Linked DNA regions of Medicago truncatula. Each later gene encodes a partner of the first gene's protein in a complex. Links are inferred from orthologs where the notes say so. Each region holds a gene or a part of one and is shown on either strand. Other genes may lie near its edges. The genes, in order: WD-40 repeat-containing protein MSI1, chromatin assembly factor 1 subunit FAS1, polycomb group protein FIE1 and VIN3-like protein 1.

What was found.
Region 2: WD-40 repeat-containing protein MSI1 (region 1) and chromatin assembly factor 1 subunit FAS1 share a complex: the UniProt entries of both Arabidopsis thaliana proteins name them as parts of the chromatin assembly factor 1 (CAF-1) complex. The link is inferred for Medicago truncatula from reciprocal best matches to the Arabidopsis thaliana genes MSI1 and FAS1.
Region 3: WD-40 repeat-containing protein MSI1 (region 1) and polycomb group protein FIE1 share a complex: the UniProt entries of both Arabidopsis thaliana proteins name them as parts of the plant homeodomain / polycomb repressive complex. The link is inferred for Medicago truncatula from reciprocal best matches to the Arabidopsis thaliana genes MSI1 and FIE.
Region 4: WD-40 repeat-containing protein MSI1 (region 1) and VIN3-like protein 1 share a complex: the UniProt entries of both Arabidopsis thaliana proteins name them as parts of the plant homeodomain / polycomb repressive complex. The link is inferred for Medicago truncatula from reciprocal best matches to the Arabidopsis thaliana genes MSI1 and VRN5.

Annotation. Positions count from the first base shown.
Region 1 is NC_053045.1:46,472,574-46,480,293, reverse strand, and holds the start of WD-40 repeat-containing protein MSI1, read left to right. Parts: upstream 1-4,719; 5' UTR 4,720-4,813; coding exon 4,814-5,485; intron 5,486-5,570; coding exon 5,571-5,723; intron 5,724-7,348; coding exon 7,349-7,473; intron 7,474-7,563; coding exon 7,564-7,659; intron 7,660-7,720. UniProt on the Arabidopsis thaliana protein: Core histone-binding subunit that may target chromatin assembly factors, chromatin remodeling factors and histone deacetylases to their histone substrates in a manner that is regulated by nucleosomal DNA.
Region 2 is NC_053048.1:37,406,599-37,414,274, forward strand, and holds the start of chromatin assembly factor 1 subunit FAS1, read right to left. Parts: upstream 3,005-7,676; 5' UTR 2,810-3,004; coding exon 2,318-2,809; intron 2,102-2,317; coding exon 2,002-2,101; intron 1,044-2,001; coding exon 896-1,043; intron 805-895; coding exon 663-804; intron 21-662; coding exon 1-20. UniProt on the Arabidopsis thaliana protein: Component of the chromatin assembly factor complex (CAF-1) involved in chromatin assembly following DNA replication and DNA repair. Assembles histone octamers onto replicating DNA in vitro.
Region 3 is NC_053042.1:9,566,476-9,574,093, forward strand, and holds the start of polycomb group protein FIE1, read left to right. Parts: upstream 1-4,602; 5' UTR 4,603-4,775; intron 4,776-6,723; 5' UTR 6,724-6,764; intron 6,765-7,146; exon of another isoform or gene 7,147-7,241; intron 7,242-7,618. Other genes in the region: protein phosphatase 2C 51, read left to right, coding at 382-681, 770-1,213, 1,561-1,666, 2,784-3,094. UniProt on the Arabidopsis thaliana protein: Polycomb group (PcG) protein. PcG proteins act by forming multiprotein complexes, which are required to maintain the transcriptionally repressive state of homeotic genes throughout development.
Region 4 is NC_053047.1:39,580,214-39,587,488, reverse strand, and holds the start of VIN3-like protein 1, read left to right. Parts: upstream 1-4,262; 5' UTR 4,263-4,552; intron 4,553-7,275. UniProt on the Arabidopsis thaliana protein: Involved in both the vernalization and photoperiod pathways by regulating expression of the related floral repressors FLOWERING LOCUS C (FLC) and FLOWERING LOCUS M (FLM).

The DNA.
Region 1 (7,720 bases):
AAAAGAGGGCAACAATGAATATATTTTATAATTTAATGGATTAAGCTGTATATTTATAGTGACTAAAATCATATTTAACCTTTAAATATATAAAAAGTGGGTGCATATACGATTTAGGTTAAGGGAAACTAGTGATTATTCTCTATTTATTATGGTTGATTTAATTTCCTTATCATCTTTATGCTCCAACAAAATTATTCTTTCTTTCTTAATGTTTATGTGGGCACTTTTTTACGGTGGAGGAGGACAATTCGGTAAGGGAGCGCTACATGATAGAATAATGGAGGAGAAAAGGAAATTGATGATGGAGGAGGAGATGAAAGTTTGCGGGTCAAATCAGCTTAGTCATGGTTAGCAAGTGCGATATAATATTCGGATTCCTTTAAGACTAATATTCTTTAATAACCAATATGAATAGAACTTACCAAGTAAAATATCAGTAGGTCCGAAGAATCTTTCGCCAACTTCAACGCCATGACCACTCATATAAAACATTAAGGAATTACTTTTTTGTGTTTGACTTATTAAATTTGATAACTTGGTCAATATTTCAGTAGTCTCAAGATAGTACCTGAGTGAGTTCCAATAATTTGCATCGTCCCTCGTGATATGGATATTTTCGTCAATAAATATACATATCATCAAAATATCTTTCATATTGGCACGATGTCAAGAGAGCGTTATTCAAACATGTTTTGATTATTGATAAGAGTATAAAAATATATGAGCAATTTTCAAAAACTACTAGAACATCATATTATAAGAATTCCAATATCTTAACAAATTTCCCTCACAACATTGTTGTAGCTAAAGGAAGACATCGTGTTTATGTCTTTGCAGATGTTACTGTGATTGAGCATATGTCTTTTTTTGCAAGACCAACTACATTAGAGTCAACTTCCCAAGTTCTAGGTATTCCTCTATTAAAAATATTTGTCATTACTCACATACCTCCATAGTCACACTCTGTTTCTGAGTTACAATATTATGGTATTATTATGAACGTCAATGTGTTCTAGTTTCAATGGAAATGTGGTGAGTTCGGCCATAAAATATGTATAATCTAACTAAGAATGATTTCACTCGAGAAACGAATTTGAATTTTCTTGAACAATTGATCCTACTGTATAGCTCATTAACCACTCGAGTCCGATTAATTGGTTACTGTTTTCAACATTTTCAGTTTCAGTACCATAATAATTGTTCAGATTCAATAGTGTGTTTCCTTGGGGGTTCGACCATGAGGTATGTATAATGTGACTAAGCGTTATTTCGCTCGATAATCGAATTTGAAATTTCTTGAATGATTGATCCTGCGATATAGCTCCTCAACATTTTAAATAGAGTGTGTTACCCTAATATAAGCATATTTTTGCTTTATTTTTCTTTAAGGGTAGAGGAAGCATATTTTTGCTTTATTTTTCTTTAAGGGTAGAGGGAGATTGTTATTCTCACCACATTGAACTTTCCGAAAGAAGTGTTTGTTCTAGTGACTTACATTCGCTTACTGTCTTTCCATAACCTACAGAACAACATAAACAAATAAAATACTTAAATAAGTACACAAGCATTTATCTTAAAAGATAGACAAAACTTTTAAAAAAAGGTAAGTAAAAACCTGTTGAGATATTAAGTTTAAAGTTTTTTTGTTTGTTACACAAGTATGGGAAAAGACCCCTGAAGAAAAAGTTTGGGAAAAAAGTTTTTTTTAAAGGTAAATAAAACTTGATAATCTTAATACAACAAACATAAGTGTCTTATTAACCGATCAGTTAAGTAACTAAAAGTATAAAGAAAAGTCAAATTTTACATTAAAAAGAACAGGGGCATTACACACCTTAATATCTTTTTTGAGTCAAGGATAAGAAAAAAAATATAAATTTTCAAGTTCGAGGGCATTTTGCACATAAGTGCAAAACTTCAGGGGGTATTTGCAAAACGTCAAGTTGACTAACAGAAGAATTTGACGGAAGGGGTAAATTGATTAACGTTGTGCAATTTCAGGGGGGTAATTGAAGTTTTGTTAATGTCAGAGGATAATTGACGAAACTTACAATTTCAGAGAGGTAATTGTCTATTTACTCAAATAATTACTAAATTAATTGAATAAAAAATCAACAACAATAAAGAAGATATTTGCCATTCAAAAAACAAAATGAAAGAGATATTTGAGTTCATACCTTTTGATGAGAAGTTATTAGATATAAGCATATATAAATAAAAAATGAAAGAGATATTTGAGTTCAACCTGCAAACGACGAATAAAAACATCTCAAATAGAGTAAAATCATAGATAAATAAAATATGAAAGGTGATCAAACAATTCATGTTTGTATACTAATTTGATTGTCTTATTGCACCAAAAATAAAGGTAAATATATATGTCATTCTTCAATTAGTGACTATATTTGTGATTGGTCCTTGAATTCAATCAAACAATATTAATTCTTAGTTACATTTTTCGAAACAATAGTAACTACCAAACATTGTTTCCTCACATGTGATCAACATATCCAAAACCATACATAACATAACATGTAATAACAAAGATATTCACACAAGCTGAAATTCAACTAATATTTATAAAAATATTCACATATCTCTTGTTCGCTTTGAAAGGACGGCACATTTTAAATCTTTCATAGAAAATCTTTTAAAGGAGAAAGTTGTGTGTATGGTATTCTATAAAATAAAAATATAGGAATTGTTTGAAAAATATAAAAGGTAATGTGAAATGTCAACATATCACAAATACATGACTATGCAGTACGAGTGATTAAAACTAACCTTATAGCATGCCAATTTTATGAAAGTACCAACTTTTAAGATCAAACAGTACAATACCAACATATGGTATCCTTTAAAAGATTCCTCTTCACATTATCATAAAAACATTAGTTGGCCAACCTTGTAGAGAAATGCGTGTATTTGGTATTTTAAAAAATACATGTAAATGAATAGTTAGGAAAATATAAAAGGTAATGTGAAGTTCCAACATATCACCAATTCATGACTATGTAGTAAGAGTGATTAAAACCAACCTTGTAGCATGTCAATGTTCCTCATAACATGTCAATGTTCTTAAAGTACAAATTTTTAAAATTAAATAATAGTGTCTGCAGGGTGTACACTACAATGGGGGCTATTTAATGTTGTGTTAAATAAGCGAAGCACCTACCGTTGTGGACGATCTTAGTCGATGAATTTTACAAATAGGAAACCATGTTTCTTAATGTGTAAGTCGTAAGGCATACACATACACGCTCTAGTCATTATTAGGATAAATACCTTTTTTCGTCCCTGTAATATTAGCGAATTCTGGTTTTAGTCCCTGTAAATAAAAAGATTTAGATTTTGTCCCTGTAATTTCATATTCTTCCACTTTTGGTCCCTCCTTTCATCACGTCAACAAAATCTGCATCAATTGCGTCCCTGTAATTTCAGATTCCTCCCACTTTTGGTCTCTGTAATTTCATATTCCTCCACTTTTGGTCCCTCATTTTACATGCCATGTATGCAGATTCTGCTGACGTGGTGGAATGAGGGACCAAAAGTGGAAGAATATGAAATTACAGGGACAAAATCTAAATCTTTTTTTTACAGGGATTAAAATCGGAATTCACTAATATTACATGGACGAAAAGAGGTATTTACCCTCATTTTTATTAGCAAAAATCCACATTTTAAATTTATCTAATAAATGATTTATGTTATTATATAGATCACATACATTGCATATTGAATCAATCTAAAAGATGAATTTCTACTTATAATAGTGACCAAATGAGGTACACAAGTTTAGATTGGTTTATCAGAAAATAAAATTAGAAGGTATAACAATGACATTAAATTAAATGTATGGATAACATCTTCGTGGAAGTGTTACTTAGACACAAACCCAAATAAAATTATTCAAGCACACATTCATAAATAAAAATATTAAGAAACAATAATATGGTCACATTTATTAATTATTTTTTCATTTAATTATTTTCAATTGTGAATGTGTGCTCAGATAAATTTTATTTGGGTACGTGCTCATGTAGATTTATCCTAACATCTTTAAATGAACGTCACGTCACATCATTGTCACTCAATACCTTTTACCACTTACTAAGAAACATTTGAAACAATTTTTTCTTTTCATGTAACAAAAAATTTGTCAATAAAAGTTGACTCGTAAGAAGTTGATTTTTCCATAAGGTCGTGAGTTGAACTTTTAATTTTAGAGTGAGAACCAAATATCTGATGAATGATAATGTTCATTAATCCTTAAGACCTATCCTAACTCTCGTAAGTCCCCAGAGATCAACTCACCTAAATTTTTATTCACAAAAAATTTGTAAATTTGTGTATCCATTTTTTTTTTCTAAGCATCAATATATACAAATTCAATTCTTCTCTTTCATGGGTGGTCTCATTTAGTCATACTTTGAGAGAAGGGAACGAATGTGCTGACTGGTTGATTAAATTTGGTGCAACTAATACTGACTCCTTGAAGATGTGGACTTCTCCTCCATCTCAATTGGATATCATCATGCTTGCGGATACCTCTGGGGTATTTAGGCAGCGGATTGACTAGTTTGGTTTTCTTGTCTTTTAATTTCCTCTTCATCAAAAAAAATATATACAAATTCAATTTAATTTTCTATTATTTTTATTAAATGATAATCCAATTTAATTAATAAAAATACGGCAAAGGGGTAAGTGAAGAAGTGAGGGAAGTAGTGGGATAGAGAAGGGGTTAGTGAGTGTTTATATTTCTCCCTCGAAAAAACAACATCACATTTGAGAGTTAGGGTTTTGAAAGTGGATGGGGAAAGAAGACGAAGAAATGAGAGGCGAAATAGAAGAACGAATAATCAACGAAGAATACAAAATCTGGAAGAAAAACAGTCCCTTCCTCTACGATCTCGTCATCACTCACGCTCTCGAATGGCCATCTCTCACCGTCGAATGGCTTCCAGATCGCACTGAACCCTCCGGCAAAGACTACTCCGTCCAAAAACTCATCCTCGGGACCCACACTTCCGAAAATGAACCCAATTATCTCATGCTCGCTCAAGTTCAACTCCCTCTCGACGACTCCGAAAACGACGCCCGTCATTACGATGACGATCGTCCTGAAGTTGGAGGGTTTGGTTGTGCCAATGGGAAGGTTCAGATAATTCAACAGATTAATCATGATGGTGAGGTTAATAGAGCGAGGTATATGCCTCAGAATAGTTTTGTGATTGCTACTAAGACGGTTAGTGCTGAGGTTTATGTTTTTGATTATAGTAAACATCCTTCTAAGCCTCCAATTGATGGAAGTTGTAACCCTGATTTGAGGTTAAGAGGTCATAATACTGAAGGGTATGGTTTGTCTTGGAGTAAGTTTAAACAAGGACATTTGCTTAGTGGTTCTGATGATGCTCAGATTTGTTTGTGGGATATTAATGGTACTCCTAAGAATAAGTCTCTTGATGCTCATCAGATTTTTAAGGTATTCTTATTGGGTTTTCTACTTAATTTTGTTGTTTTTTGTTGCTTGGTTTGTTGTTGATGATTTTGTGTTATTGTTTGTTTAGGTTCATGAAGGTGTTGTGGAAGACGTGGCTTGGCATTTGAGGCATGAGTATTTGTTTGGTTCTGTTGGGGATGATCAGTATTTGCTTGTATGGGATCTAAGGACACCGTCTGTTACTAAGCCTGTTCAGTCTTGCATTGCTCATTCTAGCGAGGTGTGTTGCTTAATCTATTTAAATATATGAGTTTGTTTTGATTATAAGCTCTTTTACATTTGGTTTTTTCAAGGAAGTATAATTAGTTTAGGGTTTAGTTTTGTGAGAATATGCGTTTGTTTGTTGTGAATTTTTGTTGCATATTCTTTGATTTGTGTTAAAATATATTTAATCTAGGACAATTGTTTTTGGCTTGAAAGTAGCAACCTATTTTGTGGAAATTAGTGCGAGGGATTGGTGAATCTGTCAAAATGAGCATGGCCTGGGGATAACGTGCTAGGTGGAAAGATACGGCGAAGTATAACATGCACCATTCGAACTGGGTGGTTGAAATGGAGCAGGGCCTCCAATGCTTTATGTGATGCAAATGTAGGAAGGCCTAGGAGTTTGTTTTGGATAATAAGCTCTTTTACATTTGGGTTTTCAAGGAAGTATAATTAGTTCAGGGTTTGGTTTTGTGGGAATATGCATTTGTTTGATGTGAGTTTTTGTTGCATATTCTCTGATTTGTGTAAAAATAGATTTAATCTAGATAATTGTTTGTGGCTTGAAGTAGCAACTATTTTGTGGAAATTAGTGTGAGGGATTGGTGAATCCGTCAAAATGAACATGGCATGGGGATATCATGTTAAGTGGACAGATACAGGGAAGTTAAACACAAACCATTCAAGCTGGGTGGTTGAAATGGAATAGGGCCTCAAGTATTTTATGTGATGCGAAAGTACTGCTCAAGTTGATGGGAAAATTTCATTGGACGACTCTAAGAACCAATATGAAAATAAATTAAGCGTGGCGGAGATAGGGATGTTGTGTTGGATGTGTGGTACACTAGACAAGATAGGATTGGAAATGACAACATTTGAGAGAGAGCTGGGGAAGCACCTATAGTACAAAAGATAGTGGAAACTAGGCTTAGGTGGTTTGGGCATGTAGAAAGAAGACATGTGGATTCCATCGTAAGGACAATAGATCAGATGGAGGAGAATTACTAGAGGTAGAAGAAGGCCTATAAAAGGCATAAAAAACTATTGAAGAAAAATCTTGAGATTAATAAGTTGGATAGAAAAATATTGGTTATTGTTGTTTAGATATGAATTATGATGTGCTGTTGTAAGAGGGAATTTGAAACATGGACTTATATTTTGTGATTATTCTAAAATTATCAATTTATTACTGTTCAATCTTCATTATATCTTTTGAAATTTATGAGTTTTTGAGAATGTTTGACCCAACCCATCAAAACATAGTGATATTAGACCTAAAGGTTCAACGTTGTGTTGAAAGACTTCATTCGGGGTGGGTGATAATTGAAAACTAAACACGGATAATGCATAAATTTTTAATCACGGTCAATATTTGAGAACTGGCCGAGACTCCACTCTGCAGTTGTACAGTGGCCATATTTCACATATCTGGCTTCTCATATTTTCCTTGCTGATATAATTTCCTGTCTTTACTCAGATTTTCAATCTGTTGGCTTCTTATAATGTCTTCTCCGTTGTGCTCTAATTCGACTTTATCTTTTAGCAGTGTTCTAGAGTTTTCACAATGCTGATATTACTCTCAATATATATCACTTCTAATAACACTTTTCTTTATATAATAATGACATTGGATCTTGTTAGGTTAACTGCTTGGCTTTCAATCCCTTCAATGAATGGATAGTTGCTACTGGTTCTACTGACAAAACAGTGAAACTGTGGGATCTGCGCAAGATCGGCAATGTTCTTCACACCTTTGATTGCCATAAGTAACATTCTCCTTAGTTGTTTCTATATTTACTCTAGATGTAATTATATTTAATAGATATTAATCTGGATTGTTGTTTTCGGGTTAACAGGGAGGAGGTTTTCCAGGTTGGCTGGAATCCAAAGAATGAGACTGTCTTGGCTTCTTGTTGTCTTGGTAGGAGACTGATGGTGTGGGATCTTAGCAGGTATTGCTTAATGAAAGCATCACCATATCTGGACTTTTTAGTGAATTTTTTATTTGTTTCC
Region 2 (7,676 bases), on another chromosome or scaffold:
GACAACTTTGAACTTGTTTCCTAGAACAATGAGGCAGTCGGAGAAAAGGAAAATTGTCAACTCTCAAAATGAATTATTTTCATTAGATGAATGAAGAAGCAAAAATTAAGAATGAATATATCAACTAGGCTCTAATAATTACTATCTAATGCAATGGATTATCATAATGTTGTCCGCAAGTTAATTTCCAATCCTACCTCAACGTCGTGCAAATACTTTTGGCTTTTTGGTTTCGATATTAATCCCACCATCCCAAATTATAAGTCATTTTACCATTTCACACAAATTAAGGAATGTAGTTAATATTGTATAGAAAAGAGAAATTATGAGGTAGTACCTTACAAAATTACACTTCATTTATGGTATGGAAAAGATAAATAAAAATTGTAAAAAAGAGTAATAAATATTAAAGGGTATAATAGGAAAAGAATCATTGATGTTTCATTTTGATATTGTAAAATGACTTAAATTTGGGACAAACTTTTTTCCAAAACTGACTAATAATTTGGACAGAGGTAGTACCTTCGAACAAATGTAATGGAAATTTGGAATTTTCAAGTTAAAGTATGTAGAAAACGCAATTTCACTACAAGTGAAAGCATCACCGAGTAAGAAGTAATTGGAGCTATAAACAATATAAACAGAATCAAAACAACACTTACAATGGCAATTGTTTCTGTTTGCAGTTCACGCTGTAGGCTTTCTTTTTCTTTCTCTTTCTCTTTTTCTTTCTCAGCTTCTCTTCTATTTCTATCCAACTGTTTAATTAGCAATTTTTCTTCTTGGTTTGCTTTTTTCTTATCCCTGCAATTATAATTTAGAAAAAATCAAATGAACAATTCATACATTTGCAAGGTAATTGAACACGTCAGGATAGCAACATTATGTTACATACATGTCTTCATTGTTTTTCTGCAACAAGCCTTCAACTATCACACGAATGTCAGCCTCAGTAGAAGTTTTACTCAGCTTTTTAGAGGCCTTGATTAAGTTTTGACTATAATTAGGCTCGCTTTCTTGTTTCTTCAGTGACGCAATCATTTCTGCAAGGCAATGAAATTTCAAAAAAAATAAAATACACAGTAAACAAAAACGCTGTCGTTTTGCCAAAACTTTCACAAAACAATTACATGCTTTAAAAAAGGGAAAACATGACAAAACATCGTCATAAATGTCATGTACGCCGATTATTTGCATATTCCGCTATCAACAACGTATTCCTTTTCCAATACAAAGACGGTTGTCAACTTCCTGCAGAAGAACATTTTCACTAGGTTTGGAACCCCTCGAAGAAAACATGTCACGATTTACTTAAACGTGACACGATTTTAGGCGAATTTCACTATCCTACGGCTAGGAGAGCAAAGTGTTGTCCCGTGAGTATAGCTCAGTTGGTAGGACAATGCATTATTATATGCAGGGGCCGGTGTTCGAACCCCAGACACCCCACTTATTCACCTTATAAGGTGAATTCTAGCCACTAGTCTACCGGACCAAAAAAAGAAAAAAAGAAATGTCGCAATAGCCACTATTTGACAATACTTTGTTTAAAAGCATAACCCAGAACAATTGTGATTTGTTCGTATGCATGTTGTTAAATGCAGCTATAGAGCTATGGCATAGCAGAATTTAAACAAAACCGATATTGTTCTGCGATACGCTAATTGGTACTAAATATTGTGAAATAGACACTATAGCTGCGCTATAGCAGTATTGCATGGCGAAATCTGAACAAACGGCTATTTTCAGAGATTTTCAATGCATAACATTATTCATATCCCACTATGCAAGTGATATATCACCGTTTGAGTTTGTTAAACTTGGAATTCTGAACAAACGGCTATTTTCTGAGATTTTCAATGCATAACATTATTCAAATCCCACTATGCAAGTGATATAGCACCGTTTGAGTTTGTATTTGACAACACTGATAAATCAAAGGAACCAATCAACTAACAACATTCAAAGCACCATAGTCAGCCAAAGCAATGTAATCCATACCAGATACAGCCATGATCCTGTCGTGGATCTTTTTCCGACAAGTGCGTCGAATAACAAGCTCTCCTCGAACAGATTTCGGCAACAATTTAACCTCCCTAGTCTACAATGACAACATAGCAAATCCATCAGCAGCAAGCAAACAGTGTAACCAATACACATTCAACTTCAACACAGACCCAATTATTATCAACATCCAAAAAACATTGATTTACACAGATTTAAGATAACCCGGTTAAATCAAACAACAAATAAACTATAGTTAGAAGAAATATCATCAAAATTCAAAACAAAAATCAAGAAAAAAAATCAAAATTACCTCCCAACACCAAAGACATGAATCAGAATGATCTTCCAAAATATCAGCATCAGCATTGGGAACTCCGTACATCATCCTTTGCCCAACAAACAACACACTACTTTTCACCAAAGCAGAATTAACCCCTTCCGCCAACACAATACCCGCATTCGCCACTTCACAATTCACCTTCTCATAAATCTCATCAACAAGCTTAGACAACGGAAGCTCACTCTCCTCCATCAAAGCCGCAACCACAACGTTTCTCGAACCCCCACATTGCTTAAGGTCAATCACAACTTTCTGAGCCAAAACCCCTCTGTAATAAGCAAACAACCCTTCAAGCTCTTTCTCTAGGGTTTCGATTTGTGCTTGTTTCTCTTCGGGAGTCCGCGAATTAACTTCCTTTTTTCGCTTTCGAGGGTTGGATTTGGGGCGATTTGGTGTTGGATCTTGAGGTGGTGGCAGTGGTGGGGGTGGAGGAGTGGTATGGACGGTGGTGTCGATTTGCATGGTTGTGTAATTTGAGATCTGAAAATGAAAAAGAAAAACCCTAATCGGTGGTGGAATAAGGGAAATGAAAATGAAAATGGGGAAATGTTGAATGAATGATATAAACAAACAATAAAGTGAACTGAAATTTTTTGGTGTTTGGCGCCCAATGCCTTTTCTTGCCTCCACTTTCAATCCAAATGTTCAACTTCTTACGTTGACACCTTTCAATTCTTTCATTAATAACAATAAATTTAGATAATAACCTTAATATGTTCTAATCAATATCATCAATCTTCTCCTAAAAAAACCAGTATCAGATATTTTTGCAATTTATATTCTAGTTATTGTTTTTAAAAACAAAAATGGATAACAAGAGAGTCGAAACTCGAATAAGAAACAAAACTACCGTTTGATAAGACTCGCGAAGTTGATATAAAATTTACGCGCGAAGCGGTAATCTATTTTAAATAAAATTATGCGCGAAGTTGAAATTTGAACAATATCAATTAAAAATAAATATTTTATTTGAGTAGGATATTAATGATGTAAAATCAAAGAAAAATCTTTGTCGCACGTCATATTTGCGAACGCAAATGACCAACTAATTATGCAAATAGACCAATAATAAATGGTTTCAATACTCTAAAAAGAGCGGATTAGGAATTGAACCGATGTGATTTTCGGGTCATGGTTCAATCAGTTGGACTACTGTATAACTGATTGAACAATTCTTTTTTAAAAGAAACTGGTTGAACAGGATTATATACAAATAAAAATAACTAATCAAATAATAAATTCATGCTAATTTTGTAAGTAATTCATTTAAATTCATAACTAGTGGAGGAAAAATGCATAAATCTATGTCAAATACACATAAATAAATAAAAACCAGAATTTTTATAAAATAAAAAACATGATGCATTTCAAGGAGTTTTAATTTACAAAGTCGTGGAGGTTAAAAAAAAGGATGGTGGACTTTGACATTTATGGACTCTTGAAATTTATGGTCGAATCTAGCATAACCTCACAAACCAATTTGTTAGGCGAGGATTGTCCCCACTTATAAATATGTTGTCATATCATCTCCTACCCGATGCAAGACTCTTTAACACACCCCCTCACACTCCAAACTTAGATGTCTAGAGCGTGAATATAAATGGTGGGTGTCCCAATAGCGGAAAACCTGATGGCGTGTGGCCTAATAGATTTTAGAGGATGCTCTGATACAGTCTTATAATTTTGTGCTTAGGACTAACATGCCCCCACATACCGATTTGTGAGGTAAGAATTGTATAACTTATAAACATATTATCATACCATCTTTCTGATGTGAGACTCTTCAACATGGACCATAAAAAGTTAGGCTTTGGAACAAATTTATTTATGCAAATTACTCTCTAGGAACATTCAATTGCTCACAAAACACCTTAAACTTTTGAAAATACATCTATCGGGAGTTATGTCCCGCTTGCTTGAAATCATGGGTTACAAACTAATCTCAAAATAAAAAATTAGAAATTGGTCTCAAGATCAGAAGTTATGATGCGGTAGCTGAAACCAAAATGCATAATTATGTGTAATTTATTCAAAGTTCAACCAACTTTAACACACTTAAACTTTCAACCACACTAAACATTCAATATACCATAAAATTATTTTGATCAACATTCAAAATGGCACAAAACCACGCGTGATTCATGCAAAAGTGAAAATATTCAATATACGTTCAAAATGCCATAGGGGCATAACTATTGATGTATTAAAATGCATATAATTTCATCGAAATGCCCTCCTCTACTATGCAGCTTAATATTGAGTGGCCAACTTTGCATCACTGACAATACGATGGAGAGTATCGTGTAGACTATAGTATGGGGTGCCATTTTCCTTCCCATCTAAGCAAATGGTCCTTAACCTCGTGATCAACTGTGACGTATCCAAAATATCCCTGGCATGCTCCTTTTATATCAGAACCTCAACATTTGATGACCTAGGTGGATCTTCCTCCACCAGAGCCACTAGTCTCAAATGAGATATATAGAGTCAGGAAATGTAACTCAATATGTGCTACCATCGCGTCTCCAAAAATATACCTCACGTGTCCTCAAGTATACATGCACCCAAAAAATATTGGAATGTTTGGTCTATCTGAAAGACATTTGACTCTAGTAGGGAGAAAGGATGTCTCATAATGGTCTCAATACATTCATGTTGCCACCTCACACGCTCTGACAAGTGATAATAAATCATTTTGCCGTCACAATTTATCTAATCAATGTACTAACATGACGATGTTCGTCGCAGGAGCAGAAGATCATGAAGCTGACCTGCAGGCAATCAAAGAATGTCATGTAGTTGTCTAGTGACTCATGGCCCATGCCATGAATGAACCACGTTGTGTGCGGCCTATCAATGGTATAGTTGGGGTCGATATCGATATCATACGCACGCACGCGCACATGTATCAGCATAGTTCTCCATATTCCAGACTTGAAAAAACTGACATAACATAAACACATATAACAAACACAAACACATATACAATTAAATATTACAAAACAAATAAAACTTCATGCTAAAATAATGTAAAGGATGTGAAAATGCCACTTTTTTTTAGGCCAAATACCTCTCAAGTCCTTTAAGTTTCATGTTTATGTCAGATAGATCCTTTAAGTTTCTAAGGTTTCATATAGGTCCTTTAAGTTTCGAGTTTGTTTCGGATAAGTCCTTTAAGCTTCTAAGGTTTCAGATAAGTCCTTTAAGTTTCGATTTTGTTTCAGATAGGTCCTTTCTATCAAATCAACTTTGGCTTAACGGAGGTTGATATAAATGATCTATCTGAAACAAACTCGAAACTTAAAGGACCTATTCGAAACAAACTTAAAACTTAAAGGACATATCTGAAACCTTGGAAACTTAAAGGATCTATCTGACACACACATGAAACTTAAAGGACCTGAGAGGTATTTGAACTTTTTTTTTACGAGGACTAAAAGTAAAATTTGATATATAGCCTCGTGGGTTTGTTTCATACACTGTTCAAATCAAATAGCAGTAAGATGTGTTATCATATGAGAACAAATGTTATATAGTAGGCTTATTTTTATATAATGGAAATGAACTAATTTACATGGAGAATGATTCATAGAAGAAACCAACTACATGATGCATGAATGATCTGTGTCTTCTAGCTAACTTAGATTTTTTTTTTCCAAGTATATTCTAGTTCTGAATTTTGAAAGTTGATGACTTCCCAAACATAATTGTCATTGTTAAAACTTTTTCTGCACTTTTTTATATGCTAGTTTTTTGAGGTTAGGTCTTCAAAACAGCTTCTTTTCGAATTTTGCCTTGTTGGTCTTCAAATTTTCAAACACTTATCCTAATTCGGACTAATAGTTCGGTTTGGATGCGGTCTTTCGAGAACTTACTCGAAATGCTTGTTCAAATTTTGTATTTAGCAAGTTAATATTATCTGTGTGAAAACTACAAGCAAGTAATGTACTTTAGATGATCTGATTTGTTAAAAACTATAAGCAAGTAATGTTTTAATTTATAAAAGGTATAACTTAAAAAAACACATTATTTTAAAGTTTTTTTTTCTCTATCTAATATGATAAATGTCTTTGTAAGGGTTGTCTTGGCAACCAACCAAGTTCTATATGTTCACATCACATATACAACCTTAATGTTTCACGATATCTTACAAAGTGGCTCATGGAATTTTGATTTGCTTCACATTCATGTTTTCCATCGTCTCAAAGCTTTTGCATTAGCAATTTCCTCATAATACCACACATAGACAGTATAATATAATTGTTTATGGTGCTGCTTCTTAAAGTATTTACTCAGCAAGTGGTGAGTACTCTTGGCTTTTGATTCATAATCGCCATTCTTAGCTTGCTAATGTTACTTGGAATTGGTTGTGAAAATTGATAATTTTAGAGAAGGACTTGTACTTTTTGTGATTAACTGCTCATTCAAACAAATTTAGGGTTTTTAGACATATCATCGCAAATTCTTCAAGTCATTTGTGTGGCTGTCTTCACGAATCTCTTTCACATACTCTTAGAAATGACCTTAAAATTTGTAGTTTCAAATAACTATTGGTTCACTCATATTTATAGTTTTGCGTCATCAAAGTTTCAAACATCAACTCCAATTTGCAAATGGTCTTTTAAATGTGGCATAGGAGGAATTTTTTTATTGTTATTGTGTGTTGGTCCCTTTTAGAAGATCCATATGTTTATAAATCTTATTATAGTCACTTATGACTCTAATATTAATCGCTTTGGTCCAACTACTTAGTCAAATACTCCAATACTTTATTTGCTGGGGGGTGATAGTTAATTTATATATGTTTCTTTAAGTGTTTTTCAACTATTGAAACATTCTTTTAAAAAAGAAACTAATGAAATATGTGAGTATTTTTATGTACAAATTTTTATTAAGTAAAAACACACTAAAAATTTATTTTAAATTTTACAAATGAATAAATTTTTAAATTATAAAATATCAATTTAATCCTTAAACTATCAGTTTTTCTCTAATTTAGTTCATAAAATATATAAATAATAAATATAATAAGTAGTTTTTAAAATATAAACTTCATCTATTTAATATTTACATTTTTTGGTGGTGGTCATGATTCGAACCCCGGACCTTGCATATAGGCATGGCAATGGGGCGGGGAGGGGACGGGTTTTACCTTCCCCATCTCCATACCCGATTCTCATATACTTACCCGTTACCCTACCCATATCCAACGGGGATGAGAAATTGAATCTCATCCCCGTCCCCGACGGGTTCGGGTATCCCCGCCCCATCACCGTCCCCGCATTGAATAATTTTTTATATTAAAAAATAGAAGTTTTTTAGCATCCCC
Region 3 (7,618 bases), on another chromosome or scaffold:
ATTGCTACCTAAGAATGTTTATGCATCACCGCTCTATGCAAACTTCTTAACAACCCATTAGTTCCCTTTCTCTTTCTTTTCTTCTTTATGATTTTTCCATTCAATTCACCAACTGGTCCCACACAATGTATCACTTTCTCCCAGCATCAACCTTCCACGTACCCATCAATTTAATCTCAACCATCCACGTCTCCTTCACAAAAATCCACTTTACTGGTCCTTCAAATTCCACCTGTTACCCGATTACACAACTCATTCAAAATCAACGGCTTAGATTCATTCTCCCTTACATCTCACAATCACCATCTTTAAATTTCCATCTTCCCCACTACCGCCGTTTTTACCAACATTTCACAAAAAACATCATTTCATTTTTTTTGCATGCAAAAAACGACCATGAAGAACATGAAACGACACTCATCGGAATCTTCTCTCCGACGAGTGGATTCTCCTGTTGGAGCCGTTACGAAGCTAGAGAATGTTCACCGGAGAAGGTTGAAAATTCGGAGAATGAAGTATAGTTGTCAAGCAAAGATCCACGTCGGAAATGGCTCCGATGACGGTGATCTGAAAACGGAGAATGCGCGACGAGAGATTCATGAATCTGTTGAGATATCGTTGTCGTTAGCAACTTCATCATCATCTGAGGAAGATGATCAGCTGTCCAAGCAAAACGGAGAGGTACACTGTTGTTGTTGTTAGCTTATTATACACGGAAAATCCTTGAGGACAGTGCGTCTCATATTATTTCATTGTTTATTATTTGCAGGTGAAGCATTATCAACAACAACAGCGACCTCTATCGTATGGTTCGGTGTCAACCATAGGCTGTAGGAAGGAAATGGAGGATGCGGTGAGTATGGAGATAGGTTTTACGATGAAGGATGGAGAGAAGTGTGATTTCTTCGGTGTTTATGATGGTCACGGTGGTGCTCAGGTGGCGGTGTCGTGTAGAGAGAGGTTGTATAGGATTGTGGCGGAGGAGGTTGAGATGTTTTGGGAGGATAGGGAATGGGATTGGGAGAGGGTGATGGAAGGGTGTTTTGGTAAAATGGATAGGGAGGTGGCGGGTGATGCCACGGTTAGGACCGTGGGATCCACGGCTGTTGTGGCGGTTGTTGTTAAAGAGGAGATTGTTGTTGCGAATTGTGGTGATTCTAGAGCCGTTTTGGGACGAGGTGGTGAAGTCGTGGAGTTGTCTTCTGATCATAAGGTACTGTAGTACTATATTTGATTTTCTTAATATATTTGATAGTACTAATTTCTAGGCAGTATACAACTAGATAGATAATTGGATGCTCTCATCATGTGCTTGATTTCTGACTGATGTGTATGAAAAACATATATAGTCACACCGAGATTGCAGCAAATTGCAATATCTATACATTGTTGCATCTAGATTCTAGAGTCAATTATTTGGATTTTGATTATTATTGAGATTTGAGATCTTGTACTATATTTAGATTTAGATGATTTAAAGTAGATAAATTTTTTCATTCCAAAGAAAACTATTGTATGATAATGAATGAAGGTAATATTGATTTCCTTGTTTGTACACAGCCAAACAGGCCTGATGAGTTGATGAGAATAGAAGAAGCTGGTGGAAGAGTCATAAACTGGAATGGCCACCGTGTTCTTGGTGTTCTTGCAACTTCACGATCTATAGGTTTGTATGAAATTTTAACTTCACAAATACTTAGATTTCTAGCTTATGATAATGTTGGTTAATCCATTTTTTTTTAGATTATTTATATTTTCTACTTTGTTATATGCATGTATTTTCTTTGATCAGCCATTTTTAAAATAGCAGAGTAACTTTGACAAAAAAAAAAGTAAAGTTTGATCATATGCGTGATTGCTTTTAAATTTTTAACCAATCAAGATGACACATTGCTTAAATTCTCTGATAAAGAAGAATCTATAATAGAATGTGATTCTTTTTTATACAAAACAAGTTTGCCACATGTTTTGCGTATATGATTTTCAATCTTAATACTATTGGGAAAGTGTCTCATTATTTAAATCTTTGAAGATTATTGGACGGAAATAAATTATTACATATGAATCTTGACCTGTTCTTAATACTTGTGTGTATGGTCAAACACGTGGAAATTTTCAATAATACAAGAATATTTGTTGTATAAACACGTTGATTTCAAAGAGGTTAAGGAATCCTTCTACTATCAAATTACATGGAAAACTGTAAATCCCACATAATCAATTAATCAAAGTTTGGGTGTAAATTAGTTGAGCAGTAGTTGAGCTATATATTGTAAACTTATTACAGAATGTTCTAACTTTTAGGTTATGAGGCAAAAAAAAGAAGTTCAAAATCCATCAATAAATTGAGCTTGATATTTTTACTTACTTTTGGAAAATTGTGTTTGTAGACCTATATCCTTTAACACCCATGAGAGAGATAGAAATAGAGTATGCGTTGTGATTAAATGTGATAAGTATGTGATGTGATAAGAAGTGAGACGGAGAAAAAATGAGGTGTTGAATAAGTGTTGAAAAATTAAAAGTGTTTAAATATAATGGTTGTTAAGAAATATGCATGTCAAGCTTTAGTTTTAAGCTTAGTTTTATTGTAGTCAACCTAAACATTTATTAATTTTTAACAAGTCATGAAGCACGAGTTTTTAGCTAAGCTCGATTAAATCATTTATAAATAACTGATAAAATCGATTACATATATATTTTGTCAAATAGAATTAGTAAACTAATGATTATTGTTAAGAACCAATTTGATATGTTCTAACTACGAAATTTGATGCATGCAGGAGATCAATATCTTCGACCATATGTAATATCAAAACCTGAAGTCACCGTGACAAAACGAACCAATGAAGATGAATTTCTCATACTAGCAAGTGATGGCTTGTGGGGTGTAATGTCTAGTGAAATTGCATGCCAAGTTGTAAGAAAATGTTTCAAAGGCCAAATTAGGAGAGTTTGTCATGGGAATGAGAATCAAAGTAATCGTGCTGCTGAAGCTGCAACACTATTATCTGAGATAGCATTGGCAAAGGGTAGCAGAGACAATACAAGTGTCATAGTTGTTGACCTAAGAGGAACATTAAAATCTAGTTGACAATTGATGACTTTATTAGTTTTAAATCAAGGGGGTGCACCCTCTGTGCCAAGATATTATCAAGTACATAGTAATGATAATTAATTAGTGTGAGAAATACAATCTCTAACACGCTTTTTTATCCGTCAAAAAAAAAACACGCTCTTTTAAGATATGTTCAATGTTATCGATTAATTGAAATTTAAGTGAGTTTGATCTCGCTCGAAGTAAATTTCATTATATTAGAAACAATGACAAACATATGAGTTGGTGGTTATTGAATATTATCGTGTATGTTTGAAAGAGTGTTTTTTTTTTTTTTTTAAAGTATATCGTGACATTTTTTCAAGATTATTGATATGAGAATTGTGTGAGAATTAAAATTGAATGATAGTATATAGTGGTATCTAATTTTGAAAAAGTGGTCTAAGGATCAATCTTTTGCAAAGTTAACAGTTTAGATCTTCATATTTCATGACTGGAATAAACTTGTTGTGAGCATTTTTCTTTTAATTACTATACATCACACCTTGCAAATGTTTTACCTCTCTTGTTGCTACAAAAATGAAATTAGAACTTCATTAGCTATTAGCTAAGGTTAATTCAAAATCAAAATAGAAATTTTATAAGGGTTTCAAATCATTGGATTCACCTTTAAATATATGTACATAAACATCTCCTCCATCCATTCACATAAGAACTCAATCCCTTCAACCTAACATCTCGCATAAATTTCTTAAACGAGACCTACTAATCAACTATCAATAACTTTATATTATTACATATAAATTTTTTAATATTAAAAAGGTGTGGGTCCCACTTAAGAAAGAGGGTCTTAAGTGTGACCCGGGTTTTATAAGACCTCGAAAAGTTCCTCCCCAATGGAGTATCTAATAGGCACTCACTAGATCATAAAAGGTTAAGACCCTCCCATTGGAGATGGTCTTAGAGGGAAGTTTCGGGCAACCACAAGAAAACACAAATGATATCTGAGACAATATGTCACATGAGATTATAATAGTAGCAAAAAATACGCCGGGAGAATCAATAGCTTTTGGATCCAAGGTTAAAAAACCTTGATGGTGGAGAAAAATATTCAAAGTAAAGTTAAAATAAAAAGAGAATGTCATAAAGATTGATCTAGGTGTAAAAATATCAAAACTTGGAAAAATTATAAGAGTTAAGAAAAAAGACAAAAAAAAAAAACGATAAGCGAAGCAAAAACCTAAGCTTTTGAAGGGTTATACCAATCCTTATGCACCAAGGAGGGAGAAAAAAAATTACCAAACAATTTAACTTTAATTTTAAAGCTCTAAATTTGACTTTATAGCACTAAAACAAAAAAAAAAATTAAACATAAATAATTTAGTAAAACGCAAGTGATTTTAGCAAAATAAGAAACACTTCTATTAAAGAAGTGAAAGTTGAAGATAATTGACATGAAAGTTTCACTTAAAACGTAAATTATTGAATTTAAATCGAGATAATTGAATTCAAATCCAAAACTCACATGTTTTTATATGACATGAAAGTACCACTTAAATTGAAGAAGGGAAAATCATATTGAATTACCATAGAAGAACAATTTATCACTTACATAAGAAAATTTGAGACCATATGAAACCCTAATAACTAATTTGGTCTCACTCAGTCCTCAACTGTCATCCCTCACCAGCTCACCCACTCTTTCTCGCCGGCCACCGTAAGCTTCTCACTTTTCCAGGCTTTCATTTTCATGTTTCACTTTCAGAGTTGTTTTTTTTCTTCTCACTTACGATATTGTATTGTATTGTATTGTAAAGTTTCCATTTTTGTAACAATCTCATTGTTTCCTTATTCATATATTCTGAAATGAATATTTATATTTTCATTTTCTTCTCTTAAATTATGGTTACTATTTCGAAATTGTTCATCATTTGCACATTTCATTTGAGATTTCGTTTTTCTTGTCACTGAATTTATGAGAGAGTATTTTCATTTTCTCAGCTTTGGTTGCACGCTAAGTGTTTGATCAAATGCCAATTTGGTGGAAAAACTTTTTTTTTCTTGTAAGTTAGATGCTAAAAGACATGGGTTGTGTTTGGTTAAAACACTTAATTTGAATTTGCAGCTTCTTATAGCATAAGCATTTATCATATAAGTGCTTATGAATAAACTATCTGCCTGTTTTGATTGGCTTATTTTAGCTTATATACTAGCATAATGTTTGTGAGACTGTTTGAGTGAACTTATGAAAAAACCTTATGTTTATAAACTCCAACATAGTTTGCGCAAAATAGTTTAACATTATTTTAACTTTTGTTATAGAAATAGCTTATACATGAGTGTTTATTATGATAAGCACTTATGCTATAAGATGACAATTAAGTTGTTTATCAAACAAGGCTTATTTCTGTTACACAAAATAAATAAAGTCAAATTGTTTTTTGTATAAGATATAAGCTTTTTTATTCAGCTATATTGGAGATTTTATGGAAATAAGCTTAAAATAGCTTACGAGCATGTCATAAGCTCTCCCAAACAGTCTCACAAATGCCTATGCTAGTAGATAAGCTCAAATAAGCAAATTCAAATAAGCCCTTATTAAGTGTTTGCTTCGGCAGTCATTTCAGTTTCACCGCGTGTTTTGGCAAGATGCTACAATTAATGGCTATAGTTTCACTGCATGTTTAGAAGAGGCTACTTTGATTTCAAACAACCACTTAGAGTCAGTTTCTTTCAATAAACCTTTCTAAAAGCACTTATGTAAGAAGGAATATTAAGAGAATCTTATGATAATCATGAGTTCATCAATGCCTTATGTGGAAGAGGTCTAATATCCAATCAGTTCTGAGAATATAATAGGAATGGAAGCTGGAAGTGATTTTTTCCCTTTGAATCCCGATAGTGAAAAAGATTTCTAAAACCTATTTGGGAAACCTTGATATGTTTTGAATGAGTAGGAAGATCATTGTGCAATGGATTCAAAAGGACTTTGTTTACTATTAATTTGCTCCTTACATTGTCTTATTTTCCATGTATCATTTGGAATTGGATTTGAATTTGTTGTTAAATTGTTATTGAACTTGGTCAATGCCAACTGTCATTTTGGATTAGGTATTAGTGGTTTTTTTTATTATATTTTTTTCTCCTTGCATATTTTCTACTTTTTGATATTTGTTTTACATTATCTAGACTAGATGAGATTGGCGTGTTCGCTCCGTAAATCAGTGACTTGGCCAAATAATTACTGCGAGTAAAATGTTAGATACAATGTCCGTAAGGCCTTGCAGTTGTGTGTGTGAGTTTTATGTGGTATTTGCCACTTCGTTTACGGACCAAAAATAAATGTTAGATACAACTGTCCATACTGGCTAGCTCATGACCTATCACGTTTTGCCACTAGCATGACTCCCCCAATCTAGTCCTTTGAGTGATATGGCTTTTTTGACTCTATCTGAAATTTCAAAGATTAAATGGGTTAGGGATTGGCCCAATCAATGATGGGCCGTCCCCCGTTGAACCGACATTAAAATATACATATATCTTTCTCTCCCGCCGTTGCTAAACTCATTGGGAGCTTTTGTGTACTCTTCTCCATTGGCATTGGTCTCGTTTCATATATATTCTCCAATCTAGATCTAATTCCTTGATTTCTTCTCCCGTTTTAGGTGATTGTCATTCTCTTGTTGAATCTGTTTTTCACGGAGTGGTAAGGTTTTTCCCTTTTCACGGTATTTTTCGTTTTTTATTGTTTGAATGTGTATATCTGATTTTTGCACATGCTTCCTTAATTGGATCTATTGTATCATTATTTTCGATCTGTTTCTTTCCGTGCTACCCCTAATTTTCATATGCTTTGCTGTATTTCTACTTTTTTATGTACTTGACGGAGTAACTTGAGGAATTTGAAAGATGCAATGCAATATATTTCTTGATTGACATTTTTGACTGGGAGATTGTTTAACTAATAACTTCATGCAGAAATTTAATGGGATTATAATATCTCATTTGTTTTCTTTTGTATTGTCAAGTCAAGTAGTTTACTTGTTATTATCATGTTCTCATGGCTAGCAATTCAGCTGGTAGCTTTTTATTTGGCTGTCAACTACTACAGTTTCTGAGATTTTAGATTCTTGAGATTTTCATATCTGCAGATTACTTATTTTACCGCGTGTATTCTTCTCAGGTCCAGTACTTAATGCTCCTTAATCCAAAGCAAATATAAAAACGCTGAATAGCTGCTTCTTGTCCATGTTGTTTGTGCAGTTTCTGCATATATTTGTTATGCAAAATGATATCCACCGATAATTTGTTATGCAAAATGATATCCACCGATAATAAGTGGAAAATAGGCAAAAAAATACGAGTACATTATTTTATGTCATGTCAATGAACATGTTAGCGGACATTTTTATTTCCCAATGAAGTTTATCTAAAATTAAGCGTAGCAGAGATGAGGATGTTGTGTTGGATGAGTGATAAGACTAGACAGGATATGATTAGAAATGACACCATTAGAGAGAGAGTTGGGGTAGCACCTATAGTAGAAAAGATGGTAAAAAA
Region 4 (7,275 bases), on another chromosome or scaffold:
TTTATTTTTTAAAAATGATCACGTATTTATAAAAGTTCTTTAAGTTTCTTAGACAACTTTTTGGAGCCAAAAAAATTGTTGCACATTTCGTTCCTTTTTTTTTTTTTTTTTTTGTTTCTCTATTTTTTTAGAAAATGATCGCATATCTTATCTTATTTATCTAACTCTGTGGTGGTGTCACATCTGTAGTTTGCTGATGATACGTTACTTATGGGTAGGGGTGGGAATAGGCCAGGCCAGGCCATGCTTTGATAGGCCTGAGCCTGGCCTACGAAATAAATCACAAGCCTGAGCCTGGCCTATGGCCTATCATAGGCCGTTTTTCTAGGCCTGGCCTGACCTATTTAAAAGCCTGGACTGGCCTGAAAGCCTACTTACAGACCTACTTCATATTAAGGCCATCAAATAGTTCATTTGGCCTACTAAATAGGTTAAACATGTCTTAAAGCCTACTTAAAAGCCTATTTCACTACAAGTAAATTTCAACTAGATAGAGAAAAAGATGTTTATATTTTTAATATATGCAATTATTTTAATATAAAAAAATATTTTTTAATAAATAAGTATTAATAGGCCGGCCTATTAGGCTTAACAGTCTTTTTTTGAAGCCTAAGCTTGGCCTATTTAACTAAACAGGCTTTCTAAAAAGTCTAAGCCTAGGCCTATCTACTAAACAGTCCAGGCCATGCCAGGCCAAAACAGGCCAGGCCGTAGGCCCCTGTAGGCCGGCCTGACCTATTCCCAACCCTACTTATGGGTACTAAGAGTTGGGCCAATGTTCGAGTGTTAAGGGCGGTGTTGAACTTATTTGCAGATATGTCCGGTGTAAAAGTGAATTTTCATAAGAGTCTACTGGTAGGAATTAATATTGGGAACTCGTGGTTGACTGAAACAGCATCTATTTTAAATTGTAAGGTGGGTAATATTCCATTTTTGTATCTTGGTCTCTCAATTGATGGTGATCCTCGAAGGTTAGCCTTTTGGGAACCTATGATGTCTACTATTAAATCTAGACTGTCAAAGTGGCAGAGTCGCTTTCTATCTTTTGGGGGCCGCTTGATTCTTCTTAAGTCTGTCCTGACCTCGCTTCCTGTCTACACTCTTTCTTTCTTCAAAGCTCCGACAGATATAATCTCTTCCATTGAAACTTTATTTAAGAATTTTTTTTAAAGAGGGAGTGAGGATAACAGGAAAATTTCCTGGATTGCTTGGAGCTCTATTTGTTTAGGTAAGGAGTATGAAGGGCTGGGGGTGAGGCAGTTTAGAGAGTTTAATTTAGCCTTGTTGGATAAATGGTGTTGGCAGTTGTTGGTGGATAGAGGTGGGTTTTGGTATAGGGTGTTGGTGGCGAGATATAGTGAGGTGGCTGGGAGGTTGGAGGTTGGGGGCCGGAGTGCTTCTTCTTGGTGGAGGGAGGTAGTGAAGATTAGGGATGGGATTGAGGGCACAAATGGTGGTTGGTTTGGCGAAAGGGTATCTAGGGTGTTAGGTGATGGAAACAATACGTTCTTTTGGTTTGATAACTGGTTAGGAGATGTCCCCTTGTGTAGAAGGTTTAGTCGATTGTTTGATTTAGCGACTAATAAATTTGTTACTGTGGCGAATATTTGTGATCGCGGATGGGGGGAAGGGGGAGAGGCATGGAGTTGGAGGAGGAGATTGTGGACGTGTGAGGAAGAAATGTTAGAGGAGTTTAGGGTACTACTTGATGGTGTATTTGTGCAGGCTAATATTCTTGACAGGTGGCAGTGGGATCCAAACATTCATGAAGGATATATTGTCAAAGGTGCTTATCAGATTCTGACAACTTCGGTATCTTCCACTGTTGACGTGTGGAGAGACCTCATTTGGCATAAGCAGGTTCCCCTAAAGGTGTCCATTGTTGCTTGACGTTTGCTAAAGGACATGCTCCCAACCAGGAACAATCTCCTTAGGCGCGGCATAGTGCAAGAGGCGGGGACTTCGTGTGCTACAGGGTGTGGGCTTGAGGAGACATCAGCTCACTTGTTTATTCATTGTGAAGTGTTCGGTCGTTGTGGCAGCAAATTAGGGCCTGGTTGGAGTGGCGGGAGTAGAACCGCTTACCATCACTGACCATTTTCTCCAATTTATTCATTATACAGGATCATCTAAGGCCCGCTGTGCTTTTCTTCAATTATTGTAGCTTCTTGGTGTTTGGCTAATATGGAGTGAACGCAACAACAAAGTATTTAAAAACGTTGAAACTCCTATATTACAGCTTCTAGATAAAGTAAAATTCCATTCATTATGGTGGGTAAAGGCTAATAATGCCAAGTTTGTTTATGGTGTGCAAAGATGGTGGTCGGACCCCTTGACTTGTTTGAGTATCGACTAACCTGTTTTTCTTGTATATAACTTGTATGACATATTGTTATTTGGGGTAGTCTGTTCGGTACACCTTGTACTGAGGAGCACTCACCGCCAGTGTTAATATATTCCATTTTTATGTCTTCAAAAAAATAAAAGTTCTTAAGTATCTTAGACAACTTTTTGGAGCAAAAAAAGTTGTTGCACATTTCCTTTCAATTTTTTTGTTGTTTCTCTATTTTTTTAGAAAATGATCACGTATTTTATTTATAAAAGTTATTAAGTCTCTTAGACAACTTTTTGGAGGCAAAACTATTGTTGAGTCTAAATTACTTTGGGGGTTTAATATTTGTCTTCTGGAAGCATTATCAATGATTTTTTTCATAACAAGGATTGGACCAAGGGTCAACCCTAATCCCTATCAATGATTTTTTCATAACAAGGATTGGATCAAAATCAACCCTAATCCTTTATCTTTTTACATGTTTAATTAATTATTGTATTTTTATTAGAAGGATTGAATGATTTTTTTAATAGGATTGAATGATTTTGTTCATAACAAGGATTGAATGATTTTTTTTTCATAGGATCAAAGGATTGAATGATTTTTTTTTATAACAAGGATTGGACCAAGGGTCAACCCTAATCTCTATCAATGATTTTTTCATAAACACCTTTGCATGTTTAATTAATTACTGTATTTTTATTAGAAAATAATAAGTGGGGTTTAGGGTGTTACATCAAATCCCCGTCTCAGTCCTCGTGAGCTTAATTCAGTTCATATGGACAACATATAATATATGCAAAGGTTCAAACTCCGACCACCGCAAAAAAAATCTCCGTCTCACATAAGCAACATTAAGACAATGAGAACTACAAACTTCTATTTCAAAGAGACTTCACCGTCTACGTAGAAGCTTATTTGTAACTACTATGAAATCACGACAACAGCACAACTGAACGTGAGTTTCGAGACTTAAACACCAAATCAAACATATGCTACATCCAATTTAAGTTGGACCAAACATACTCATTTATTTTTTTTTACTTATTTTGGGTCAAAACTGCCATTCAATCAAATCACCGCCTCACATGAACAACATAAAAACAAAAAGTAATATAAACTTCTATTTCAAAGAGACTTCACCGTCTCCATAAAACCTTCATTTTATAGTTACTAAGACCATCCACAATATATCACCTTAAACTGAGTGGTTAAATTAATTTCATATGTCCACATCACTTATTTTACGGTAATACTTAATAAACACCAATTTTCTCCAACCCAACACCTCAAAAGAAATTATTAAATAAGTCCTACAAATAATTTTATATCATTACATTTCAACAAAAATTATTTATTTTATTAAGATTTATTAAATGTGACCCATGAAAAATGAAGAAAGAGAGGGTGCTTCCATAGCCACCGTTCTCCATAGCCACCCATATATTATACTCCACAATGGGGGTGCCTATTTAATATGATGCTAAATAGATGAAGCACCCACCATTGTGGATGGTCTAACAAACGTGAGTTTAAAGATGCGCTATGTCTAGATTAACCTATATCACACATACTCATATTTTTTTTCTTTTGTTTTTTTGGTCAGAAACTAGCATCAATCAAATCACCTTCTCACATAAACAACATAAAAACAAAGAGAACTATATACTTCTGTTTATAAAAGACTTCATCGTCCACATAAAACCTTCGTTTTATAGCTACCAAGAAATCACAACAATAACACAACTAAACTCGTGTTTAAAACCTCAAAAATCCAAACCAAACAAAACATATGCTACATCTAATTTAAAACCTATTCTAAAAACATAACTAAACCTTAAAACAACTTAAATAATTTTCAAAGAATAGGGGCAATAATGTCCACAAAAGTAACATCAACAAAAACCTGAAAAACATGAAAAGAAGTAACATAAGCTGAAAACTTCACACAGCTGACTAACCAATACCATGCAGCCAAACAACAAGAGCCTAGGAAGAAGAAAAAAACTACCACAACTCCCTCACGCGCCATCTTAAGCGCGTGTCACTTCATTCACCTATAAACACTACCAATAAACACAACCCTTTTTCTCTTTCTCTCTCAAAATCACAGAAACAACAACATAATCTAACAACAACATAAACCACCAAATTTGTCTTGTGTGTTTGTGTTGTTTAAGATTTCAGATTCATAACCTTAAAATCCTCATTCTCCTTTAGGTAACTCTTTCATTCGTATCCCTTTATCCTTAATTTTCACGTTTTTAAGGTTTTATGTTTTTTTTTCTTTTTTTGTCTACCCTTTATAGATTTGTTCTGATTTTCCTCTTGCCCATGTTCTGATTTTTGTAAAAATTTGTGCTTTTTATTTGTTTAATAATTTCCCTTTATTTTGATTTTTTTTAAATATTAAAATTGATGTTTTTTTGACCTATTTTTGTTGATATGTGCAATGCTTATTGAATGAGTGGTTAAGTTGTGATGTGTGATCTTTTATTCTTGTTTTGTTTTTATGTTCAGTTTTTCATTCATGGCTCTAAATTGTGGTGTTATTATTATACGTTTTTTTTTCTTCATCTGTTTTGAGTAAATAGTTATTGTTATAATGATAATAATAGGTTTGTTTTATTTTTCATAACTGTAATTGACTATTTGAGTCTATTTTTCATCAGACATTGTGTGTTTAAATCAAATGTGCAAAATAATACAATTGTGTTGGAGACTGATTTATATTTTGTTTTTAATTGATTATTTTTAATTTAATATTAATTAATATATATCCATCAATCAATCAATTGATAATAAATCCTCAATTTAGAGCCCGTTTGTTGTCGGATTCGGGTGAGGTCACTTGGTTGTAAGTTTGTTTTACAACCTTGTGGTACTCGGTTCGAGACTGGCCCCAAGAGAATAACACTTTTAAGGGTATTTGATCGGTTGATTACTCTTTTAAGAGTCCTGATGGTTGCCCTTAAGTATATCAAATCTGTCATTTTAGTCTCTAAATATATGAAAATCTGCCGTAAGGGCTTAATTAAGGGATTATTCATCAATCAATTAACGCTATAGTTGCTAGTTTGCATTGTGATTATGCATATCTGTCTTTCTCTCTTATTGTACTTTATTGATGAGTTACATTGTGAGATTGGTGTGTAAGAATCGTGGTTGCTTCCTCCCGTGATTAATATTGAAATGCAAACAGAACTGAACAATCCATGATAAATTTTTGAAGTGTTTGATAATAGATTGTTCTTGAACTGAACAAAGCCATCTAGTGGTTATGCTGCTGTTTTGGTTAATGCTGTTTTTTCAATTTTCTTTCAGACTTCACACAATTTTATCTTTTTTTCAGACTTTCTTTCACAAATGATGTTTATGCATATCACCAACACACTCCTTTGTTCTTATTTTTGTTTTTTTCATTTGTGCCATGTTAATCGTGTCATGTTAATCTACTTAAAAAAAAATGAACATGATTTAAAACGCTGTCTGAAATTTGACTTCGGAAAAGATACATTTTATTTTTTTGGAGAGGATTCGGAAAAGATACTTAACGTGTGATTTGTTTGCGGAAGCTGTTATTTAATGTGTTTTACTTTCTTTTGCTTATTAAAACTAATTTTATGTATAGTTTCAATCCAATGAATTGTTATATATTGCTTCTTTTGCAAGGCTTTTTTACCCTTTATATCATTATTTCACTTTTTAGTCTTGTGGTTTGTTTCCTTTTAACTTTTACTTGAGTGTTTGATGATATTTGTTTCCTTTTTGTTATTCAAAATGTGAATTTTGTTTGTCTCATATTATGCAACGTATTATAATTATGATCCTAAAATGGAGTTATACGTTGATATGCCTTGTAAGTATATTTGGTTTGGGATCAAATCTGGTTTTTCGCTATCTTAGAGTCAATTATCGATTTTAATATATGGTTTTATTAAATGCTGAACCGATATAGTTACAAACTAGTATTGTTCTATTCTACTCTTATTGTGGCATCACCTTGGAAAGTCGTTGTTATTCATATTTGGGTTAAATATGTTTTTAAAATCTTAAATCACTATTTTTTGTCTCTATCGTCTTGCGGCGTCATTTAACTACTTATGTGTCCAACACAAGATCAAGTGGCCTCTCCAGGTGGCACCTAATCGTGTCGGTGGTGCCTTGTTAGCATATATGACTCCCTAAGATTTTATCTTGAGCCCGGAGATTTTTTTTGGCTCAACCTAAAGTGAATGTTAGAGACCAAAAATAGCGATTTGTTATTTTAAAGTGATGAAAAACCAATAAAAATATTTTACAGGAATCAAAGCCAAAAGTTGCTCATTTTATGGTGACTAAAATCAATAATTTTGGACTTTAGAGGAATGAAAGTCCACAAAGAAATCATGCTAAGTTAAAGTATACTGTTTTTCTTTTGTTATGCGGAAGTGTTGTACTTTGTGAACAGTGTGGCATATTATTAAGGAAAAAAATAACGATGAATTATGTGGCATAAAATTTATCCAAATTTTCAGTAATACATTAGGTGAGGCTATGATGATTGTCTACAAAACCAATCTGTGTTACTATTTTAATAGGATATGTTTTTTGGGTCTTTCTTGTACATATTCACAATATAAACATCTATTTATTTTGTCCCTTAAAACGCAGCAAAATAAATTTTGATCTATATGTGATGTTCTGTTTTTTTCATACGCAATTATGAAATATTAATGCATTAATTAATGTATATTTCTGTTATGCATAGAATATAATTATGTAACATATATGATATAAACTTCCCCAATTGTGTGGTTTAGAATTTGATATTGTTATTAATACAAAGAGATTGGAGTGATTGTTGAATTTAATCCTTGTTTAAACGACTTCTTCAACCATGATTCTGTTGTCCATGTTGTCTTGTTAGTTATCAAAACTGAAATTTATTTCTGGTAATGAAA